3 linked regions of the Lepisosteus oculatus genome follow. The protein of the gene in region 3 purifies or fractionates together with the protein of the main gene of each other region. This does not show direct contact. Links are inferred from orthologs where the notes say so. Each region holds a gene or a part of one and is shown on either strand. Other genes may lie near its edges.

Evidence for each region.
Region 1: the proteins of rassf1 (region 3) and map1b purify together in Homo sapiens (affinity purification with mass spectrometry; 3 studies listed by BioGRID and IntAct, counting the BioPlex papers as one, with this or other methods). This does not show direct contact. The link is inferred for Lepisosteus oculatus from reciprocal best matches to the Homo sapiens genes RASSF1 and MAP1B.
Region 2: the proteins of rassf1 (region 3) and sav1 purify together in Homo sapiens (affinity purification with western blotting; 3 studies listed by BioGRID, with this or other methods). This does not show direct contact. The link is inferred for Lepisosteus oculatus from reciprocal best matches to the Homo sapiens genes RASSF1 and SAV1.

Annotation. Positions count from the first base shown.
Region 1 is NC_090698.1:24,228,382-24,236,394, reverse strand, and holds the start of map1b (microtubule-associated protein 1B), read right to left. Parts: upstream 3,104-8,013; 5' UTR 3,000-3,103; coding exon 2,819-2,999; intron 1-2,818. UniProt on the Homo sapiens protein: Facilitates tyrosination of alpha-tubulin in neuronal microtubules. Phosphorylated MAP1B is required for proper microtubule dynamics and plays a role in the cytoskeletal changes that accompany neuronal differentiation and neurite extension.
Region 2 is NC_090703.1:13,047,424-13,054,847, forward strand, and holds the start of sav1 (protein salvador homolog 1), read right to left. Parts: upstream 3,015-7,424; 5' UTR 2,600-3,014; coding exon 2,506-2,599; intron 375-2,505; coding exon 1-374. UniProt on the Homo sapiens protein: Regulator of STK3/MST2 and STK4/MST1 in the Hippo signaling pathway which plays a pivotal role in organ size control and tumor suppression by restricting proliferation and promoting apoptosis.
Region 3 is NC_090699.1:64,638,028-64,645,153, forward strand, and holds the start of rassf1 (ras association domain-containing protein 1), read right to left. Parts: upstream 3,053-7,126; 5' UTR 1,800-3,052; intron 531-1,799; exon of another isoform or gene 443-530; intron 1-442. Other genes in the region: zmynd10 (zinc finger MYND domain-containing protein 10), read right to left, coding at 4,330-4,429, 4,910-5,035, 5,956-6,077, 6,238-6,363. UniProt on the Homo sapiens protein: Potential tumor suppressor. Required for death receptor-dependent apoptosis. Mediates activation of STK3/MST2 and STK4/MST1 during Fas-induced apoptosis by preventing their dephosphorylation.

The sequences.
Region 1 (8,013 bases), on a different chromosome or scaffold from region 3:
AAATGAAATGTTTTTGGGAGTGTGTGTACAATAGGAAAGGTCATTTGATTCATAAAACAACTATGAAAAGAATGACTATAACAACAAGTGTCTCTTTGTGCAGTAGCAAAACAATGTTTTGACAATGTCCTCAAAATTCCAAATTCTGGCCATTAGGGGGGGTTATCCCGAATCAACAATAGGGCATACAGTACATGAAAAGGTCTTTAGAACATATAATATTAACAACCTTATTTTTATATAAATGTAAAATATATTTTATGTACTTTGGTGACATTTTCATTAGTCCTAAATGTTAATATTTCAGAAAAAAACACTAGAAAGCCACCACAGATGTTGTTGATTCAGTTACCAGCACTGTGTCAAGAATGCCATCAACTTAACTCAAGCCCTAATTCAACTCATTCAAAAGGCTGCATTAGATCTGCCACTTAAAATGTAGGTTTGTTTCTTAATCAGGTTCAATGGCATACAAAGAAAGGATGAGTCATCTTTTGTTATTAAATACAGTGTTGAGGAATGCAATAGTAAAATATCAGACTTCTTCATCTAAAACATGCCATGTTTTCTGATATATCACAGATTTCACTGAACTGGATTTTTGAAAAAGAAATGCTGATAAACATCTGTTTCTAAAAGTATACTGCAATGACTCATTTTCCTAAATTATGACCAGCATATAAAAAATTAATTCCTGGTACATTTATATATTGATAGATTTATATATCCTGGAAAATGAATATATTGTAATCAGTTGAATTAAAAAAATTGTAGTCTTTAGTTTTTATCAGAGGTGAATCAGACATTTAGTAATCTGCTGTGAAAAATAGTTTCACTTTAATTTACTGTTGTAGATATACTGCAGTTGTTGGATACATTTTTACAGCATTAACTTTTGGAAACCATACTGGTCTCTAATTATGTACAGTAATTTCTTTGTTGGGTCTCTATTATTAAAACTCTCATTTTAAAAATCTGAGAAAATTTAAGAACCATAAACTACAGTATGCATCTAATTAAAATTATTCTTAAAACAATTCTGCAGTGTTCTTGCATCTTACCAATCATTTATATTTTGTTAAACAACAGCCCATCTGAATCTACAGCCAAACAGCAGTAGACAGACTGCAGGTTAGGGTTGTGGAATTATAACTGAAGGGTAGTGGGCTCAAATCTCAAGTGAGATACTACTGTTGTATTCTTGAGCGAGGTACTGTACTTCTCCTATGGATGCAAATGTAGGTCGCTGTGAATAAAAGAGTCATCCAGATAAATAAGTAATAATGTCCTTTCTGGAATTTATGCTCTGTGTTTGAGCAGTCTATGACTGCATAGCCTACACAGAGCAATAAAGAAGTAAACCCTTTGCTATACAGTAGGTGAGTCATTAAGTGGTATCTAACCTAGCTGCATACTGTCCCAGACTCCCAGCACAGTACGTCTGGTTATATTTCTATTGCTTTTTTTTCAAAGCAGTCGTGTTTTCTTTGTCTTCTTTTTATTTATGACGGCGCAAATTGCATTTTGTTATTCAGGAATACTGTCAAACTAAAGCTTCTAGCGCTGTCAAGGTGTCAAGGAGACATGCCCTGCCTGTCTGTGGAACGCCCTGTGGCGGAAGAAAGTCCTCAGTGAGTTTCCGTAGGGACCGCACTGCGGACTGAACCACGCCCACATGCCGGTATCGGAGACAAGCCGAAATGCAGGGGATGAATGAATGATGAAGTATTTCACCGTGTGAGGCAGGCGCAGCTGTATGTTTCAATCACCTTCTAATCTTAAGAGTTCATCTTTTATTTTTTTGCATCATATTGAACAGTGTTCCATTATTCAAGTACCTTAAGTGCATCTCAAAAACACAAATGCGTAACACAATAACCACTGAAACACTGTTCAGACTCAGTTTATCTGCAACAAAGGTGAATGATTATTTACAGTACAGCTTTACATTATGAAATGTATTAAAATGCCCAGTACCCATGCATTTGAAATACCCCTGGGACATATTTTACATTCTAATTAGAATAGATTTTCAGAATTTCATTTTAGAAGAAAAATAATGAAAAACGTGACCAAATTAATCATGTTTGTCTGTTATGATAAAAATAGTTCTTAGAATTAAATCCCTCAGAGTATAAAACACATAGAAAACAAACGTAATGTGAAATGAACAATAACGCAATCTTGAAAGGTAGTTCCAATAGGTAATGCGACAAAGAGCTTATTCAACACGAATTTCGGAAAATACTTAGCGACAGAATACTAGAAACAAAATGCTGAATCATGAATGCGCAGCATCAAGTTAGAGTCGTCATTCGCAACATGTACTAGGATGATTCACGCAGTTTTAATTTATTTGAAAGTCTATTCAATTTCATTTTTGATATAATAGCTGGTAGTTGCACATCACCTAACTGGAAAGAATGCACTATAGGCTGATGCCATCTGTTTGATTTGCGGCACCCGCAGATTTACAGTTACCGAAAGGGAGGGGCTGTGCAGCAGTTTTAACAATACAAAGATAAACAATGAAATAATAACGATATTTAAGAGAAAAGTCAATCGCATAAACTGCAAACGGATCCAAACAGAACTATATACTGAAAATTTTATTAGATGCACAGCAGAGGTTTGTTCAAGGTTACACTGAAATTATCTAAAAAGCAGAAATAACCTCTAAATATAATTTAAAAACCATTTTTTGAGGCGAATCTGCCATTTAGGTTGTTGTGTCTTTAGCAACGCGCAATAAAATAATTTACTTTTTTAACTTTTTTTTAGTATATGAAATATTGAATTGCACACACTCCCTTCTTACCTCTTTCTATATCTGCAATGGCACATCTCAGGTGATCCTCGCTAACAATTTCTCCGATAACCACAAGGAGATAGAATTTATTGTCGAGAAACCGGTGAGAAAGGCTTGAAGATGAAGGAGAAGATATCAAATTGCCACTACAAGTAGGCTCGGTGTCTGCCGTTTCTACTAACGACGCCATCCTCAGCCCCCTGTCCTCCTGAATACGAGAACAGAACAGCTACCACCAGACGGGGAGTAAGCTTGGAAGGAGTGGTTCGCTCTTTTTATACCCCAGACGTTGTGTCATGCTTAGGACCCAGGGAGGAGAGAATGCATTGGCAACCACGGTGCTTTTTTTTTTTCAGAACTGATGTCATCTGCAGCGAATCAAACCCCCCGGAAGCAAATACATGAGAGAACTAAAGGGGTATTCAACCCCCAAATACTGAAATATACTGTATACATCTACTTTTCTCCCTTATAATCATTTTCAATATTGGATTGCATATTGTGGTATTGTCATACACTGTAAATGAAGAGGAAAAACAGCAGCTGTAACAGAAGTGGTAGACATGGTTAATGACTGCATTGTTACCCAATTTGTCGGACCACCTATAAGAGGAAAAGCTTGTACTGATCTCCTCTTTTCAGACAATCAAGACAGACTGGGGTAAACTGAAGTGATAGAACCATTAGGAAACTGTGATACAGTATAGTGTGCTTTGGAGTATACCTTGAAACTGTACTTACGAAGTCCACAACCACATCAGATATTTACAATTTCAGGAAAGCAGACTTTGAAGGGATGAGGCAGATCACATAAGAAGTGAAGTGGGGAAGGACAGGTATGGAATCAGTGAAGAATGGATGGAAAAAATGTAAACAGAGTCTCCTTGAAGCACAAAACAGATCCCAAGAGTGTGTAAGACAAAAGCTAATAAATAGTATTCTGAATGGTTAGAAAAATCAATCAGAAAAACTCTAAGGGAAAGGAATGGACTTTATAAAATAATTAAACATCAGGATCCAGTTAAAGACATGGAGCACAAGGAACTGCAAGTACAGATGAAAAGGGATATTAAAAAAGCCAAGAGAGATATTGAAAGGTATTTTGCAATGGAGGCTAAAATAAATAATAAAAAAAATATTTCAGTACTACAACAGCAAAAGAATCATGATGGGAGAGTAAAATGTATCCCAGTAAACTGTTAGTAAATATAGATATTAAAAGATACAGTAAATGGCTGATGTGCTAATTGAGTATTTCATTCAGGTGTTCACTAGGGAAGAAACCAACAACATGGCTACATGACTCAGGCAGAAGAAGAAAACACTTATTTATTAATAAATTGCCAGGCCCTATACTGACATCAGAAACCATTGACACAAGGCCTTTAACAGTCTCTCAAGACCCTGAACTGAAAAATTGTCCAAGTAGTGCCCATCTACAAGACGGGAGGCAAAACTGACCCAAGTAATTGTAGGCCAATAAGACTGACATCTGTCACATGAAAGGTAATGAAAGCAATTATTAAAACTAGAATCTAGATGTTCACCTATAGTAAATAGAAAGAATTCCTAGGTAACAGTCAATGTGGATTTAGTAAAGGTAGGTCTTTCCTAGTTAGAGGTTTTTGAACTAAGAACAACAATAACAGATAAATGCAGAGCAAACAGTGTCTGATACAATGTATGTGGATTTTCAGAATGCTTTTGATAAAGTGCCTAATAAAAGATGAATTCTCAAATTACAGACAGTAGGCCTGATAAGGGGTGAATGCTCAAATATGGGGGATGCACCTGTAATTAGGGGACTACCACAGGGATTTGTACTGAGACCTCTAGTCAGGTTTGCAGATGAAACCAAAACAGAGAACAGCAAACACCGTAGAAGCACAAATGAAGTTCCAAAATGTCAGCAGTGATATCTCTCTGCAATTCGCAACTGGCGACCCACTGAAGCTAAGCAGGTGTAAGCAGGTGTGATGGTAGACCTCCTGGGAAAGCTAAGGCCACTGCTGGAAGTGTAAGGCATGCAGCACTGTTGTAGTTAATGGACCCTATGCGGAGTTCTGCAAATAGGTCAGAAAAGATGTTAACGAGGAAAGTAATCGGTACTACCAACGCCAAATCGCTAGACGATAAATGAAGTCGAGGATGCGCGAGAGAGAAAGGCGAGGCAAGGCGTTCCTGAGGAACTTCCAATACTGAGCAATGAAATGAGGGTAGGAGAGGGTTTAAATCTGTCGGGATGTGGAGGGTGCAGTAACCGTGAGCTGTCCTGATTGGTTAATGGATCTGAGCGTTTGCAGGGATTGCCTGCAGCTAGTGCTTGATTGGGGCAAGACCGTTTGTGTGTAGGGTTATTCAATTACTTTGGGTAGGCTAGATTAGGAAAGTATTACTGTACATTTTTTCTAAATGTATCCTTTGAGATAAGAGATACATAAATTCAGTCTGAATTGGAAAGAGGATCCCATTGGGACAGTTCATTATGGGATAATCACAAAAAGCAACAATGGGTAATTTTCTTTTCACAGTCAATCAGAGGCTAGTTCATTTAGAAAATGCTGCATGTTCCCCATAATTTTCTACAAAAATTAAAATAGCTTTAAGTCTGTTTTGCCTTTTTCCTGTTTTATTATGAAGTATTTTAATATGACAGAGAACTTTGTGCTTTTAAAAAAGTGTAGTACGAGGGTAAAGTGATGTTGGCATATTCCCGGAGTCACAGACTCTCTGTGGTTATTAAAAATCCCAAAAGTAGGGGTGTAACCCCGGCATCCCAGCCAAATTATCCTTGGCCTTTAATGGCCTCCTAATAATCTATGAATTGGCTTCATCACTCTGTTCTTCTCCCCACTGATAGCTGGTGTGTGTTGACCATTCTGGCGCACTATGGCTGCTGTCGCATCATCCAGATGGGGTTGCTCATTGGTGATGGAGTGGAGTTCCCATTACCTGTAAAGCACAGTGGAGTGTCCAGCAATAAATGAGTGTAAGGAATTATTATTATTATTATTATTATTATTATTATTATTATTATTATTATCCAGAAACTGTCACGATCGTTACTCCTCCTCTTAAGGGTGCTCCAGCCCTTCCTCGTTTCCCCCATTGTTTACACCTCTTCCTTATTCCAGCCCCTCTTTAGTTCCACCTTTAAAGCCAGACGCAGCCATTTGCCCGAGGCTTCTCATTGAATCCCATTTCGTGAGAGCCCGGGGTCCAGGAATATCTGTTCCTGATCCCCTGCCCCGCCGGTCCTGACCCGGTTCTGGTTTTTAATTATTTTGGATCCCCTGGTCTTGGACTCTGCCTCCCGTATTGGACTTCCCTTTTGGATTTATGCTTGGATTATTCGCCCCGGACTCACTTCCCCTGGACACCTGTTCACCTTGGACACGCCCCCCTGTCTCCTGCCCCACTCCTGCATGATATTTTTCCCTATTGTTTCTTCACTTTCCAGATTGTGTCGTCCGCATAGGGGCCAGAAAGAACTGTTCCTGACAGAAACTCCTGTTGAGGTAGCATGAGGGCTCGTCTCAAGCAGTTTTAATGGTCCTGGGTGCTTCTGTCATTCCTAGTAATTTAGTAGAGAGTTAGCTGCATTTAGAATGAAACCAAGTTTTACAAATGCAATTTCCTAATGGACATTCAGTGAAATAAAAGAACAAAGAGTGCCAGTGGGTCTGGTCAGTTATCTGAATTTTTTTTCCTGGCACTTCACCCACACATTTGTGTCCTTTTGAGGAAGGCCCCAAGCTTCTGAAGGAGACCACAAAACCTCCGTAAATTAAGAATCGAAAGGCTTTCCTTAGTGTTTCTTAATCATTTAATTAAAAGATTTTAGATTAGTTTCGGGTCATCGACTGCCTGTATGAGCCCTGAAAAATCTGGATAACAATGCTTGTGCTTATTAAGTGTATCTGATTAATTAATATACAGCACTTTCGACCATCTGCCACACACTGACACATATTAAAAAGTTTAAAATACTGACAGCAAACAGTGCTGTCCTTTATAACTCTTTTATAACTCATGGACACATTCCTGTGGTTGCCAGAGGTGTTATCTGCTACTCCAAAAGCCAAATTTCAGATTGCATAACAACTTGAATATAATTCTGTGTAGTTCACCTCTCCAACCTTTAAACAGTACACTTGTAAAGTAAAAGATGTGTTGGTCTGATTTTTTTTGGTCAGTGGCTTCTAAACAACTCTAACATTGATATTGTTTTCCTTCACGATCTTGAAAGGAATCAACATCTTCTTTATCGTCTTAATAGTTGGCTTCTTCAATCCAGTGTTTTCCATCTTGTATATTACTTATATTTTTGTTAACTACAAGTACTGTAACATGCCATGCGTTCATTAAATGACAACAGCCAGGTGTTTTATGAGTTTTGTCTAAGGTTTTCTGAATTTAATTGCTAGCTATTTTCTTGAATTTTCATTTTCATTATTTTCTAATGCTTTTAACTCTATGATACTGTATTTTCCAAACTTCAAACTCCAAACTAGTTTACCACTACTATAACTATACCATAACCTAGATAATTGAAATCAAATTGAAGAGCAGTGGATCTGACACAGATCCCATGGTGGTTCACTCATTACATCACCCTAATATGAGTATTCACTCCTTATTTTTCTGTTTTCTTACTGCCAATGTCTATGACCTTCAGTTTAAAAATGATCCTTTTAAGCCAAATGTCATCAAAGCCATTTTTGAAAGTTCACATATAAATATAATTTATATGTATATAATACTACATCATAAGCTTTGAGTACTTAGTAGAACTCTAATTGTCTCCTCGTTTAGTTTTATTTTTAACCTTCATAACATCGTATGCAATAGATGTAAGATATATTGATCTATGATAATTTAGATTATCATTATTGATCTAGATCGGTTTGATTTAGACACATCTTAGTGAAAAATGTGCATTAACATTCTATTTCTTTTATCCTTTGACTCATTCTTTGATATCTTCTTTCCAGAGATATGACTCTGCCTCTATACTTTTTAAATATACCTCAAAGTATTTTCTGTTATGATGGTAGTTTCCTAATGGTTCTATCACTCCTGTTTTCCTCATTCTATCTTTATTCTTTGAAAGGTCTGGCCCGTCTACTGTAGTTTAAAACCCTTGATTGATTTAGGTTATTGTGTTTTTGATATGATATGTTTGCAAGGCTCTCCTGGAACAC
Region 2 (7,424 bases), on a different chromosome or scaffold from region 3:
GTCTGGCACGTGTCGCCGCCGCTGGCCATCGTAATAGGGGTCAGGAGAATAGAAATAGCGGGCAGCGCCACCGGCGTCGCCATTCTCTGCCATCGGGGTGGCCTCGGTGAGGAAGGACTGCGAGGACCCGCCGTACTCCCGCGGAAGGTCTCCCAGGCTGCGGGGAAGGTAGGGCGGCGCCGACAGGCGGTTGCTCTCGCGCCTGGCAATCTCGTGGGGCGGCCTCTGCACCGGCCCGCGCAGGAAGCTCTTGTTCCGGGAGACCACTGGCTCGCCCGGCCCCACGGGATACCCTGCGGGACCCTGCTCCGGCAGAGGGATCTCGGCGCGTCTGGGAATGGTAGGCCCATGTCTTATAAATGAGGGCATCAAATCTGGAGGAGTGAAGAGGAGAGGGACCCCGCTGGTCAATGGCAACAAACCGCATGACCGCAAACTGGACTACACGAAGTGCCATCAGGCCTTTTGCTTGATCGTCAAACAGTTCAGTTCCTATGGTTTTCTTTCAGAAGCAAGTGCAGTACCGGACTCGCTCAGCTGACTCGAAGAGAAAGCACAAACACACAGGGACAACTCCCTGAGACAATATCTCACAGCAGCGACTTCACAAACCAGGGCATACTCGGAGCTGGTAATAAAGCCGGCCGGTTATTTTTTAGTCTCCATCAGAGAGCGTTTCTAAAAAACACATGCTTCTTAAAATACAATTTATTCAAACACCGATGTAAAACCGCATTTCTGAAGAACAACTGAGCTCAACCAAGTCTTGTTTTGTGTTCCACTTTTGCTAAAACACCAGATCATACAAGACTGTAACACATGGTAATCAGCGATGGGACAGTTCCAAATTGTACATTTAATGCATTTACTTCCCCGCCTCTAGTACCAGACTCAAAACACTTATGATGGCCCTTATAAAAATACACCAAACAAACAAAGTAAGAATTCCAGCTGGTCGAGTAAAGCAATTTCCTAGTCAAATTGTTTTGCTCATCTTTCGCCAACAGTGCATATTTTGCAAAACAAATCACCTGCCACTGGCTCAACAAACCAGTTACATAAATATAGCGGAATTTCCAGGAAAACAGTTTCTTTTTTAAGCCTGACTATTCCTCTTGTTCAGTAAGCCGAATGTAGTTTTTTAAAGAAAGCATTCAGCTAATGTAAAAAAAAAATAATTTCACAGATATTAAAGGGAGACTGTAAAGAAACTAGCATTAACATAATCTGACATCTGAGGAAATGACACATTACATGTCTTGTGAGAGCCACTTATGATTATTATAATAAGGGTTATTATTGAGTATGTACTTCAAATATTCATTTTTACACTTTTAACAAAAACACCAAGAAGGTAATTAAAAAATACACATGTGAAGCACCAACATGCTAACGGACAGTTCGATAACAATAAAAAATGTTCTAAGAAGAACTCAGTCAGTCCATTGAATACAGATATCTGCTACAGGAAGTCAAAACTTTTACTGATCTCTAGGTAAGAAACACATTGAGACATTTTAGACTAATAGGCTATGTGAGCTCACCTTTTCATATTCTTAGATTGCTCTGTGCAATGTGTAAGAAAGAAAAGTTATTGGTAATTTACTGAAATGCAGGAAAAAGGTTGTTCTAGGTAAAAAATTGTAACATGCTGCTTCTCACTGTGTGTGAAGTGTTTGTAGCCTTCACAGTCATTAGAGTAAAAGTGACTTTGATATGCTACAACATTAAAAGAAAACTCGAAGAATGTTCACAGCTTTCATCTCCCAGCTGGTTCTACCCACTAAGCAAGATCATGTAACCTGAGAGTGGAGCTGAAGTGTAAGCAAGCCTTGATCTTTAACACTGACCCTAAGCATACAAACAAAAATGACACCTTAAATCATTATTTTAAAACAAAACGAATAGCCTATTTAAAAAAAAAAAGTCAATGCATTTTTTTCCCACAAATCCTAAAAAGTGACCAATTAAATGGAGATGGGGGTGGGAGGGGAGTTACCCTTAACGACTTGTGAATTGCAGCAAATAAAATAAATCTGAAGATTTTAATCCTGGCAGCAGTTAGCAAGGGAGAAAAATATCTGATAAACTGAAATACGTTAAAAAAGTTTCTATTCGCAGCACTGTACCCACATCTTCAAATTAAAGGAATGTATAAAGTGAATGAGAAAATAGCCAACTGTGACGGGGTTTGAATAGTTTCGGCAGGGCACAGTGAGGACCTTGTGTTTTTTTTAAACCGTGAACTGTGGCTCTCGCATCCAAACGCAACCACTCCCATCCCATCTTTTATAACATCGGGAATGCACAACGCTAATGCTGTTCAATACATTAGACGTTAGACTCGTAGAAAGAGCAGGGACATTTCGAATTAAGAATAACATAAGCAGTGCATATTGGTATATGCAAGTTAGATAACTTTTTTAGCAATGTAAACACTTGCATCTGAGGACTGCAGGAAAACGAGAGAATTTAATTCTCCCCCCATTTTGAAGCTCAACTTACTTCTCAAGAGGGGGGACGTCTCCTTTTTTACGTATTTTCCGTGTACCTCGGCTGGTTTCGACGCTTCGTTTTTACTTTTCTTTCGGGAAAGCATAACTCGAACTGCGAGGGAGACATCAATGCGACGAAACAACTTCGGTGCGCCTCAGGAAATCGAGAAGACCGCGGCACAGGAGCTGGAGCAGAGGAAGAGGCATTTTCATTTTTCACTCGGGGCAGAGGCAGCCTGGGCTTCGACGTAAATCCATTTGTTAGTGCCAAAACAAATCGGCAGACTAAACGGGCTTATGAGAAGTTTGAGCCCGCGAGGAAAAAAAAAACAGTTTTTTTTCAAACCAGAAAAAACATATCGCGTTGCATTTCAGTTAATATTCATAATTTGCCCCCGAAAACCACTTTTACTTGGTTTCCCCTCAGCCTGTTGCTCCTATCCTATTCCCACTCCTCTCCACTCAACATATAAACTTCCCTGCTTCTCAGGGGTTTTTTTTTCCAACACGCAAAGGGTTCTGGGATAGGTGACGCATTCGCCTGAGCTCTGTGGTTAAGGTGATGGGACTGCCTGAGCTCTGAGGCGTTGTGAGGCTGGTGGAGCTGGTTCCTATGGAAACTCCACAGCACGGAGTCAAGAGTTGCTGGAACCGTGCAGGACATAGCTGATGCTCCCTCTGATTTAAAACTATTTCTTGATTAATAATTCGTTGAGAATTTGCAACCGTTACTTGACAGCTAATTGGTTTCTTACAGGTACCCAAAACTCGGTTTGCTAAGCCTGCTATTGGGAACCTTGTGGAGGTCCTTTGGCACATATAAAGTAAAAAAGACAACAGTGCTTTCGGAATATTAATAATTCTTAGGATAGCCACTTCCACAGTGAAAAACTGTGGTTTACCTACAAATTATTGTCAGATCAGAAACGCAGTTCAAATCAAAAGATGAAATGGCACACATCATTCCTTGTTCAACGATTGGGTGTTTATGGCAGCACATTTTATAACTTTCATAGTGGAAATTAATTTTTTCCATTACCACTTCAGTTGGAATTAGTGTTATTCCTCTGAAATCAATAGATTTCTGTAAAGATAAATATATAAGTAACAGAAAACGCAATGTTTCAGCTGTGGAGCCTTCTTCAGGTGACACACATCCGAAATGTTGTGTTTCCTTTCTTTTCAGCATGGAATAAGCTCGTTACCTGTTCCTGTATATATAAGTGTTTACCCTGCCTTGTGCCTGCTGCTTGCTGAGACAGATTCCAGCTCCCATGAAACCCTGAACTGGAAGAAGCAGTTAAAAAGTGGGTGGATATATACTTTTAAATATAGTGTTCTATGGTTCTATCATCTTAGACCTTTGCCCATGGAGCCCAACTAAACAGTATTAAAAGAGCCAGCTTTTGGAAGGATGATTCAAAATTGGTAGCAACTGTGTAATTCTTAGAGTCTTGGAGTTGGGGACTTCATTCCACAGTGGATCAATAAAAACAGGTGATCACATGTGACCAATATGATAGGAATCAATACCTACCAATAAAAAATAAAGTGCTTCTGATGAATACTCTGTTTCTTAGTGCAATATAATTATGATATTGCTGTTGAAGCATCAATTAGTGACAGTGCTTCCACCATACAGTGCTACAGTCCTTGATAATACATTGCTTTTTCAGGTGATTTTTACCCCAGGCTGGTGTGATTTCAATACATGAAATGGTAGGATTTATTAAGGCTAAAGAATTAAGCTGATTTTGACATATAGTATCTGGAAAAGGAGTGGTGAAGGTATTTAGAATATGCAAGTGATCCCACAATATGTGCTAGCTTCCAGTTATTTCCTGGTATGTTGTATGCTCATAAATTATACCAATATCAATGGCAAAGTATGTGTTTCTATTTTTTATTCTTCTTTGTTTTTTAGATTAAAATATTTGCCAGTGACACAAGCAGGGAAGAATTTATCAAGGTATTTTTCAGAAATGTGTCCAAGATCTGGGGTGCTATTGAACATATTATTTTCTGTAGCAAACTTTATACAGTCAACCAATGCCTGATGCATATGATCCCTTTTTTATATTTCAGTGTGTCTGATAGATTTAATTTTTAAAACTGGTAGAAACTCTTTTCTCATGGCTTACCTCACAATATTGTTTTGAGCCCACTGTATTTTATGAATGGTACTTGCCATCTCAGTGTACGTGGGTTTGGGTGGTAGCTGATGATGAAAATACACATAATAAATGTGCATAACTGTAGCAACTCTGCCCAGAGTGTAGCATGCCTACATTTCAAGAGCCAGGGAAAATCAGACTTCATTCCAAGCTGAAACAAATTCCACTTTTTCAGATGATGAATTTATGAAGACTTGTTGCAAAATATGTATAGCTACTAAGTCTTTTACATTAACATAAATACACTGTACATTAGTTATATTTTATTTTATTTTTGGCAAGCTAGTACTAATTCTGTTATATATTATCCAGATGTGCTCTGTATCCAGACATTGAGATGGAACATCTGGTTTGATTATATGTTGTGTGGCAAAAGAAAAGCTTGTTAATTTTGAACATTCTTTTCTTTCCAATGACTCATAGCATTAAGTTGTGGATTCATGGTAAATCCTGTTTTAAATGTTGTCTCTGTGACCATAGAGATGAATCAGTCTTGCATGAGATCCAAATTTCACAACTGGATTCTTAAATGGGGTACTACATTCCTCTCTTTTATTAAATAAATCATTTTGGCCCTTAGTTGAATATACAATGAACTTCCCCCAGTTTATAGAGTATATCTAAGTATTTGTTCCGATGTGTGAGCTTGACCTATTCACAGCATGCACTCATCATATTTGGTGAAGTAAACTAAATGATCAAAACACAAAGTTAGAACTTTTTACAATGTCATCATAAGTAATCTTTTAATTACCTGCAGGGCTTATTTACATAGGACAATAACATGGAGTCACATTTGTAATTTTTTCTTTTTCCAATAGTTACCTGTCTCTGGACCTGACTCTTTTATGCAGTTAAAATGAGCCATTTAGAAGGTGGATTGATTTTGCTTTGTTTGGATTGGTTTAGTTTTGCTTTTTAGCATCCCGCCAAATCAACATGAACTAATGATTTGCTCTAGTGGTTGAATCAGCATCCATAAAACATTCTGTGACATGTCTAGGATTTTCCCAATTATACTGTATTCATCTAACTTGCTTGGAATAGCCAATATCTTTGTCTTTTTCATAGATTATATATAAATGCTGTCCAGAGCTTGTTTTAAAGGAGAACTGCAGTCCCAATTTCTCAGACCATTTATTAAATCCCGGTAACAAAATTAATTAATTGATGGTATTGCAAAATTTGACAAATTCCAAATTAATCACAAATTCCAGAAACGTACTGTATGCTCACCTTGTTGTCGCAAACCGCTGGTCTCGCTGCCGCCGGGAGTGAGAGTTCTTGTGAATTGTGATGTGAAGCAGCCCCTTCCTGCTCGCTAGTCACTGTAGTGACTAATGTAGTGTGATGTATAAGTGAATAAGAACAGGTTGTGCAGCACACATTTTACAGTAGAAATGTTCCAGTGTGGCCTCTGTGCAGAGTTAACAAGTACTGTAAGTAGTATTCGTAGGCAAAACTGACTCGGAGTTGAGAGCAATATTTTTCATGTATTAGGTATTCACAAGCCTGCTTTTTTAGAATGTAATAAGACCGCTTCACATTAGCAGAAGTTTTTGCCTTGTTCTGAATTGCAGGATTGACCCTGTGCAATCCTGGAAATCTAATTTACTTTGTGTTGGAAATTGGAGGTTTTTACAAGTTACTGTGTACATTGTACAAATGCACTCATCCACGCCGACTTTTTCTAAACATAATAATAGCATTGCAGTTCCTCTTCAAGCAATACTGCATTCAAATACAAGGTGAAAAGCAAGCCATTGCACCTTGAAGCTTGAGTTTCTATGTGAACTGTACGACATTGCTACTAGAGGTTGAATCGATCCACACAGATCAACAGCTGTTGATACGGGTCTGTTCAAAACGTCTGAGTGAAGTGAGCACACAGAGCAGAGATAAACCGCCGTCGCGGAAGGACTCAGGGGACACACGGCACATTGTTTTGGGCTTGGGAACAGAGACCCTCCCCTCTGCTGTGCTACACCCCTTCCTCCCCACCACCCGCCAACATCCAGATAACGAGACGAGCGCACTTGCCTCTGAGCACAGAGGATGCAGGGATGACAGATGGGGACTCAAATTCTTGTTTTCCCTAAAGATCACGCTCTGAACTGCACATTTCCTTCAGCGGGACAAGACAAACCCCGCCAGAGGAACAGCATGAATCCAGTTTTGCTACCAGGCCTCTTAGACATTAAAGCAGAGGCGTAGCCACGGGTCGTGCTCAAGTCCACTGAATATTTAAAGGCACGGTAAAAGCTCCGTGAAGTTCGCCCCCTACAGACAGCACAAACGATGAAACCCACCTCATTCGTTAGTGCTACGTTTCTGCCAGTTTGTGCCATTAAAAGTAGCGTCTGTGCTGTTTTCGTTCCCGAGATACAACGCCTTGTTTTTCCGGGGATCATGTGACCATGCACGGTGACTTTGACCTCCAGTGATCCCGTCTGCCGAGTTCAAGCGCTGTTACAGTTTAGCTCGTACCCTTAACATTTTATAGACAACCAATATCCATAAACATATGAGCCTCATTAGATATGAATAATACTAAGACATGACACATGCCAACAAGTTAACCATCTATGACATAAACCTATGGTTGTAATGTATGTAAAATCACCGTGATTGTTAGATCTATGGTTTTTATTTTCTATGGCACGTTTTCCTTTCTTTCCCTACCGTGACACGCTGTTGCCAAACGCGTAACTGTGGGATACCATAGTGACAAGATTTCCGCAGCATGTCATGATAG
Region 3 (7,126 bases):
ATGCGCTGTCGAAGTTTAATCACTTAAAAAAAACGTATTTATGCTTAACAGAATAACAAAAATTACAATACAAACGAGAGGACACATAACAATTCAAGACAAAAAGATAGTCAGGGGTGCATATTACTACATTAATTCAAGTTATGATTAAACAAATTAAATAAAAATAGGGTCCGCACCGCTTTCATATTTTTGCACTTTGAAATAGTCTGCAAATACCCCCTTACACCCATTTTAAAATGCCCAAAGGGTTCTTCTCAGGCCACTTCATGTTATGTATATAATAACGCGCCATTATAATCATTAAATTGATTACAAACGAAATTGTAATATTGTTTTCGATGGGGCTGAAACTTAACATAACATCTTTTTCATCCAAACAAATATCAATATTGGTTTCTTTTTTAATACGAGTCTGCAACTTAGTCCAGAAAATATTTACCCTGGGACATAACCAAAACAAGTGCTGAACAGGTCGAAGTTTAATCGCGCTCGCCCTGCTGATCTGTGCTCTGACGTCTCAGCGCCCCGCGGTGCCACCTGCGCGCCGCTCCGCTCACGGGAAACTCCGACTTGATCCGCGCGTCTTTCACGCGCCCCGCGCCCACGCCCACGCCCACGCCACCGGGAAGCCGAGAGCACAGAAGAGGGGGTGACAGTCCTCCAAGGGCCACGCACGCCCCACACTGGGGGGCGCCCATGGCTGAGCCTGTCCGAGCTGTACAAGTAGGACAAGCATGCTCACAAGCTGGTGCAAAAATAAACAACCGTTCAGTTTCGCCACTAGTATAAAAACGTATAGACGTTTATTCCCCAACACACACATTTTTAAAAATGCAAATTCAAAAAAAAAAAGCTTCCAACAGTGAATGTAAAGCCTCTATTGATGCACGGAGCCACCGCGCACTCTGGAGATTTTCGTTATCAGAGCTTCGACTATTTTATTTTAACCGCTTGGGTGCAATCCGGTTATTTTCTTCCGGACAGAAGCGGCCCCCTCCGTGGGAAACGCATTTTGAACGCCGCCAGGCGCATCCCAGATTTTTAAAGGGCAAGCGCAGATGCTGAAACATCCCCATCTCCCCGCCGTGCGGGCGGTATGAGGACCCCGGGACACCGCGCTGATAGATCGAGCTACACTTCGTTCATGTGAATTTTATCACGAGAGAAAAAAAAAAACCACTTTGTGGCGCTCACATTATTTTAAACTACGGGTCATAAATTTTTTTAAAAACTTTTTTTCTCTCCTCGCTGAGCGGGGTGTAAAACGCGAAAAGAAATCAATGATCCCTTCGGGAGGGAGGGAATCAGTTGGGTGAAGCTGCGGGACGTTATCTCACGATGCCTCCGGGAGCTGTCCCCATCTGGGGCATTCCTCAGGACAACACGCTGACCCGAAAATGCGGAACGACCACTTCTACTTTTCGGAATGAATCGCACTTCTGCTCCTCCCTGGAAAAAAAAAATCGTTTACGCTCGGATATAACGTTCTGTCTGGAGCTGTGATTTTTGGGGGATTTGCAACTGTACCTACAACCCTGACCGAAGTAAAACCCCGGCAACGTGCCCGCTTTCATAGTGTGAAGTCTTCAGCATCAGTTCAGACCTCTCTGTGCATCGCCTGCCCGAGACTAAGCCCGCTTGTTTTCAAGCGCTGGGTAACCCACGAACTTCCAACAGCCTTTTAAAAATATATATATTTCACCGTCGTGATTTGTAAAAAATTACACGTCGCGTTCACGTCGTCCTCGAAAAATAAATAATGCATGTAAAGATGTAAGCTGGGACACACCACTTACCAAGGCAAGACTCGATCTAGGTCACCGACACACAGGCGTGGCTACAGTGGAACAAAAACTGTTAAGTTTCAAACGCTGCAGCAATTTAAAATGCCCTTCGTGATCTGGAATACTAATCCTCCGTTATTATGTAAACAAAAAAGAGTTCGTGTTTGTCGCCGGCAACCTTGGAAGGACGCAATGGAGCAGAAGAAAAAAAGATAACAGTCGTCCACAGTTTGCCACAGATGTATTTTTATTCAACGCAGTCCATTTCCCCAGCTAACAAGAGAGAGCAAGCGAAGCGAGTTAACTCCTTAAACGCGTTTGCGACCACAGGCGCAGCTTGTCAGCGGCTACGCTGTAGCAGGACGAGCTTCTCGGTTTAAAACACCGCCAGGGAATTTTCAGAAAGTCTGGCAGCTTCATACGGTCCTTCGGTTGTCCACGCACTGTCTAGCTGGTGCTTGAAAGGAGGACAGAGAGTAATTGTCTTGAAACACGGAGAACGAACGGTTTTTCTCTCGCGAAAAGTAGATGCAAGCAGAAGAACGCTACACGAACGAAAGAGACCCTTTTTTTTCCCTCCGAAAGCTCTGCCCCCTTTTTCTGCCCGCGCTCATGTGATTTTATTTTCTCCTCCGTGCAGGACAGCCGAAAAAAAAAAAGTCGAAACCTTGCACGGACGAGCCCGGAGAGACAAGCAGCCGTCTTCATGTGCTCCAGCCCGGAGCTGGGCGCAGCTGTCGCGGCGGTCACACGGAGAGGCGAGGCGCGATCTGCCGGGCGCTGTTATGCTGGAAGGAATCCGCTGAAGTTTCCGTAGAGAGAGTGGGTTGAGGAGGTGTGGTGTCCCGTCTCAGCAACGTGTTGCGAAAGGGAAAAAAAAGCGAGAAGGGGGAACATTCAAAGCCTTCATGTGCGAGATACGGAGACCGCGCAGAGCCCGGTTGTTGGTGTCGACTGCAAGCCATCTGCAAAAGCAATGATGTTTCAAAGGGTTTTCCACGAGGTTCCACCTTAAGCATCAAGTCCTACTTTTCGTCCTGGGGTTGTACCCGAGGGTGGGCGCTGGGCACACGATCTGTACTTTTAACTATTCCCGGGCTGGTGCTGGTAACGGGTTTAGTCCTGCAACGTCTTACCGCTTACACGCTGAAACCAGCTATAATAAACGATTAGGGGTGTCAAATAAGTGTCAGCAAAAAGACCCAACACACACAACAAATTATAGCGAAAGACATCGCCCCGTCCGTATACTGTAATACTGGAATAAACACTGGCGGTCAGAAACGAAACAGATTTTTTTTGGAGGGAATGAGAACAACATTCAGGAAGATGCAAAAGTTAAATAACTTCCCCTGACTAGTGCATGAAAGTTATTTATTACTTGTCAATGTTAGAAGTTTCTTTTTACAGGGAGATGTTTTACAGGTAATCATGTTCCATTAGGGTGTAGTAAACACCAAACTGTACACATTGTAGTATCACAACATACACAAAGATATATACACAATCATGCTACACCATGGCCAAGGGATTCGGTGTAGAGCTCTTGTGTCCTCTGGTTGGTTCTGCAATCGCTGATGCTCCTCCCGAGACTATGAACAGTTCTTTCCAGATGTGCAAGAGTGAGGTAACACCATCGTTCTGCTTCCAGTGAGAGCAACGCACGCAGACACAATCAGACAAGTTTGTATTTCTAGGCCAGAGTTTCTGAAGAAGAGAAGATCTTGGACGAGCTTTTAATCTGAAATAGCAAACAGACAATAAACTACTGCCATTGGCCATCTAGTGGTTTCTGGCAGAGGGTGCAACAGCCTCTCCATCACTGCGCAAACATGGCCTTCGGTATATTACCCAGTTAAACCACTGAGAATCTTTTAGACAAATGGGTTGGATGGATGTTCTCCTCCCATTTCTTAACCGGTATGTCTGCCATGTGTCTACATGCTGACATCTGAGCAAGGAAGACGTGTGTATTAATCTTTAGAAGAGATGTCATGTACTGTATGTCACAAGCGAGCCAATGTTCCTGTCCTTTGACACGAGTAAGCAACAGACAGTTCCCATGTGGAAAGAATACAAATAACACATCTTGATCAGCCAAAGAGGGAGGGATATGTTGAACACCATGATATAGTAGATAATTGCACAGTGTCTGTTTAGCATTTAATCTTTGGCAGGGAGCCTTGGATCACAAGTAAAGCCCCAATTCTCTGCTGCAAAAACGCCCTCATTTGTTTTTATTTTTGTGAGCTTGTGGTTATTGTGCTACTGTGAGTTTACTAATAAATGTACAGCAATCAAAGCTATGTGACTTAGACACTATTAAAAGGAGTTTTAGCTGAAACCAGTGCAACAATAGATGAATTTTCTCAGAACACCAATAGCTGTCCAACGTCACCACTCATTTAGTTTTAGCACTGCACTGACATTGACAGTATATTGAAGGGCATGTCAGGCAGACTGCTGGGACCCTGTGCTTTAAAACCTCAGTTCAGTCTGGGCTGTCTTTCCTGTTAGACCCACTGCTGACTCTTCTCGAGTCCTACGGCTTGACGTCCAAGTCCCCCCGGAGTCTGTGAAGAGCTTCGGCCATCAGCTCACACGCTTGCTTGTGTTTCGGCCAGTGTTTCACCTGACATTCCCTGCAGGCAGACAAAACAGGTTAGCCTTGCGAGTCTAGAAAATACTAGGGGACCCAGATTAAAAGATTTCGGCCGGTGCCAATTCTAATTGCATTTGTTTTTTGTTGCAACAGACATGCAAGGGGGGGGGAGGGGAGGAAATAAAAAAAAACTCAGTGTTACAAAACCATGCAGTAGAAAAAAAGCCAAATTTTCTTTCTTCCTACTTTCTAAAATATTTTGAAGCAGGGATACAGCCACATAAGGTTGGCTGCCCACCCATTTTCATACTGTCCAATAATTATTTACAAACACTGAATGGAGTCTCACACTGCCGGAGGGTTTTGTCATGACTGTGGGCCTTCGTATTAAATGCTGACACCGTCACACTGGGTCCGCTGCAGCTGCTCTTCGTTCTGCACAGCACTCTGGGATTGTCTAGGCCCGCGGGCTGCTACAGGATGTGAACCCACTGCGCCTTCCCCCGACGGGGCGTCTCACCTGCGGCAGTACCACTCGCTCTGGCACCGGGAGCAGCGCTTGGCGGCCTCACAGCCACAGGAGCCGCACTTGGGTTTGTCAGGGATGAGGTTCTCCATGACATCCAGACTGTAGGTCTGGGCCAGCCTGACAGGAGAGAGAGGGCAAGGTGACGCGAGGAAGGACACATCTCTCTCTACCCACACCTCAGACGCCGCATCTTCGAGGTGAGTGGCTTCTCAAGGATTTTGCGCACTCCTCCAGATTTACATCATACAGTACTAAGGGACAAGTTATAGGTTTATTCCATGCTGAAAAAAAGAAGAAAGAGAACACAACGTTTCGGCCGTGGAGCCTTCTTCAGGTGTGAGAGAGACAGGGAGTGACTGCCCTGTCTCTCTCACACCTGAAGAAGGCTCCACGGCCGAAACATTGTGTTCTCTTTCTTCTTTTTTTCAGCAGGGAATAAACCTATAACTTGTTCCTTTGCAGCCTACGCATGCTGACGCAGCTACCCACCTGAACTAATACAGTACTAAGGCTTTTTTTAAGCAGCCCTTAATAAATACAAATGTCCTTAATGGGGTAAGAAATACAGTGCCTGGGAGAATAAAGTAAGCATCTGTGTCATATTTTGACTTGATCATTAAATACTACATGTGGCTCTGAAAGGGGAAGTAGTTGTGTTTCAGAATATTTCCAGATATTTAGTAAGCAAGCTGTGCCAGGGGGTAAATTGGTCAAGAGAGCACATGCCTTTATCCCAATTAACACCGCTCCCCACCACCACCATCACCACCACAATGAACAGCTTTGTTACTAAACATTCTTCTTTCAGACCCAAATCAAGTGTTTAAGGAGAAAGCCTTATCACACAAGTACCTGCTGATGCCCTTTCTTACACATGAGACAAATGCTTTGATTGTACTTTTATTCTGCTAGGGCACTACCCCCTATAGATCTCAGTGGCAGGTCACAGTTATATGCTGCTGCATAAACTGAGGCATGTTTGTGTAGGCCGCACTCTCCCTCTGCAAAGTCCTCACACTCCTGCCCCTCTGCCTTACCTGTGTGCCTGTTGCCTCAGGTCCTCTTCAGAGGGGCTGAATGCTTGCTTCACTTGGTACTTAGCAATGGCCTTCCACTTCCCAGAGTTCTCTTTCATAATATTATTCCACATTTCCGGGATCTACAGATCAAGGCATGGTGAAATAAAAAAAGAACAGGCAAGGAAGAAACATCACCGCGATTTAAAGAACACAGTAGGTGAAGTGATGCCTTCTTGTCAAGCAGAAAGGAGTCACTCACTTGCTTGGTAGGGGACTAGTTCTTATAATGCGGTGCTTTACCTGTTCCAGAATGAGGTCCTTCTTAGGGGGTGCGGGGTCAGTGATGGCCAGCTGGCTGAGGAAGCGCTGGAGCTCGGCCAGATTGGGCAGCTGGTCAATCAGTACCTCGGTCAGGAAGCCACGGAGCTGGGAATACACTCACAAACATCAGGATCGGGCCAAAACAGGTCCTGCGCTTACAGTAACCAGAGCACAACACACAGCAGCCACTATCTGCGCTTGCCTGAAGCGAACTGCATCACACATGGCTGCTCTGCTCACTTAGCTACACCACGGCTCACCATGTGTCAGAATTTATATCATTTTGTGTTGGAGAGTATTTAACTGAATGTGATTCTGAAGATGTATTAAATACTGTATATATACTCATATAAATATACCTGTGTATACACCGCAGGTGAGAGCCGGTGGAAGGCAAAAACATATACCAGGCCAGTGAAAGGAAGATGTTGTACATGAGGGGATTTTCAGAATGACCACGTTTTTATCACCATTTATACTAAAACCAAACCACAGAAAGCATGTTTTTAAGACTAGGGTATATTGAAACGAGCAGGCACCCTGATCACTATATAACAATAATTTCTATAAGCTCATGAGCTTTTTGAATCATTTAAAAAATGAAAAAAGTAAAATTGAATTCACACAGTTGTCGCTTTCATCTTCCTAATCTGTCCACGTGTCTGATTTTGTTGTTTGCTTGCCCTCTGGCACAGTGGCTCTTCCCAGCTCGTTATTTTATACACCTTGACAGGATGTTTTAATTGGAAAAGAAGAAAAGCAAAACAGGCAAAGGGAAGTGGCTTCAATCGGAAAAGGCATCTGGGAATCTAGCGGAGTTCCTCTTAACAGGTCACAGTGAAAAGACGGCTCAGGGAAAGCGAGACGC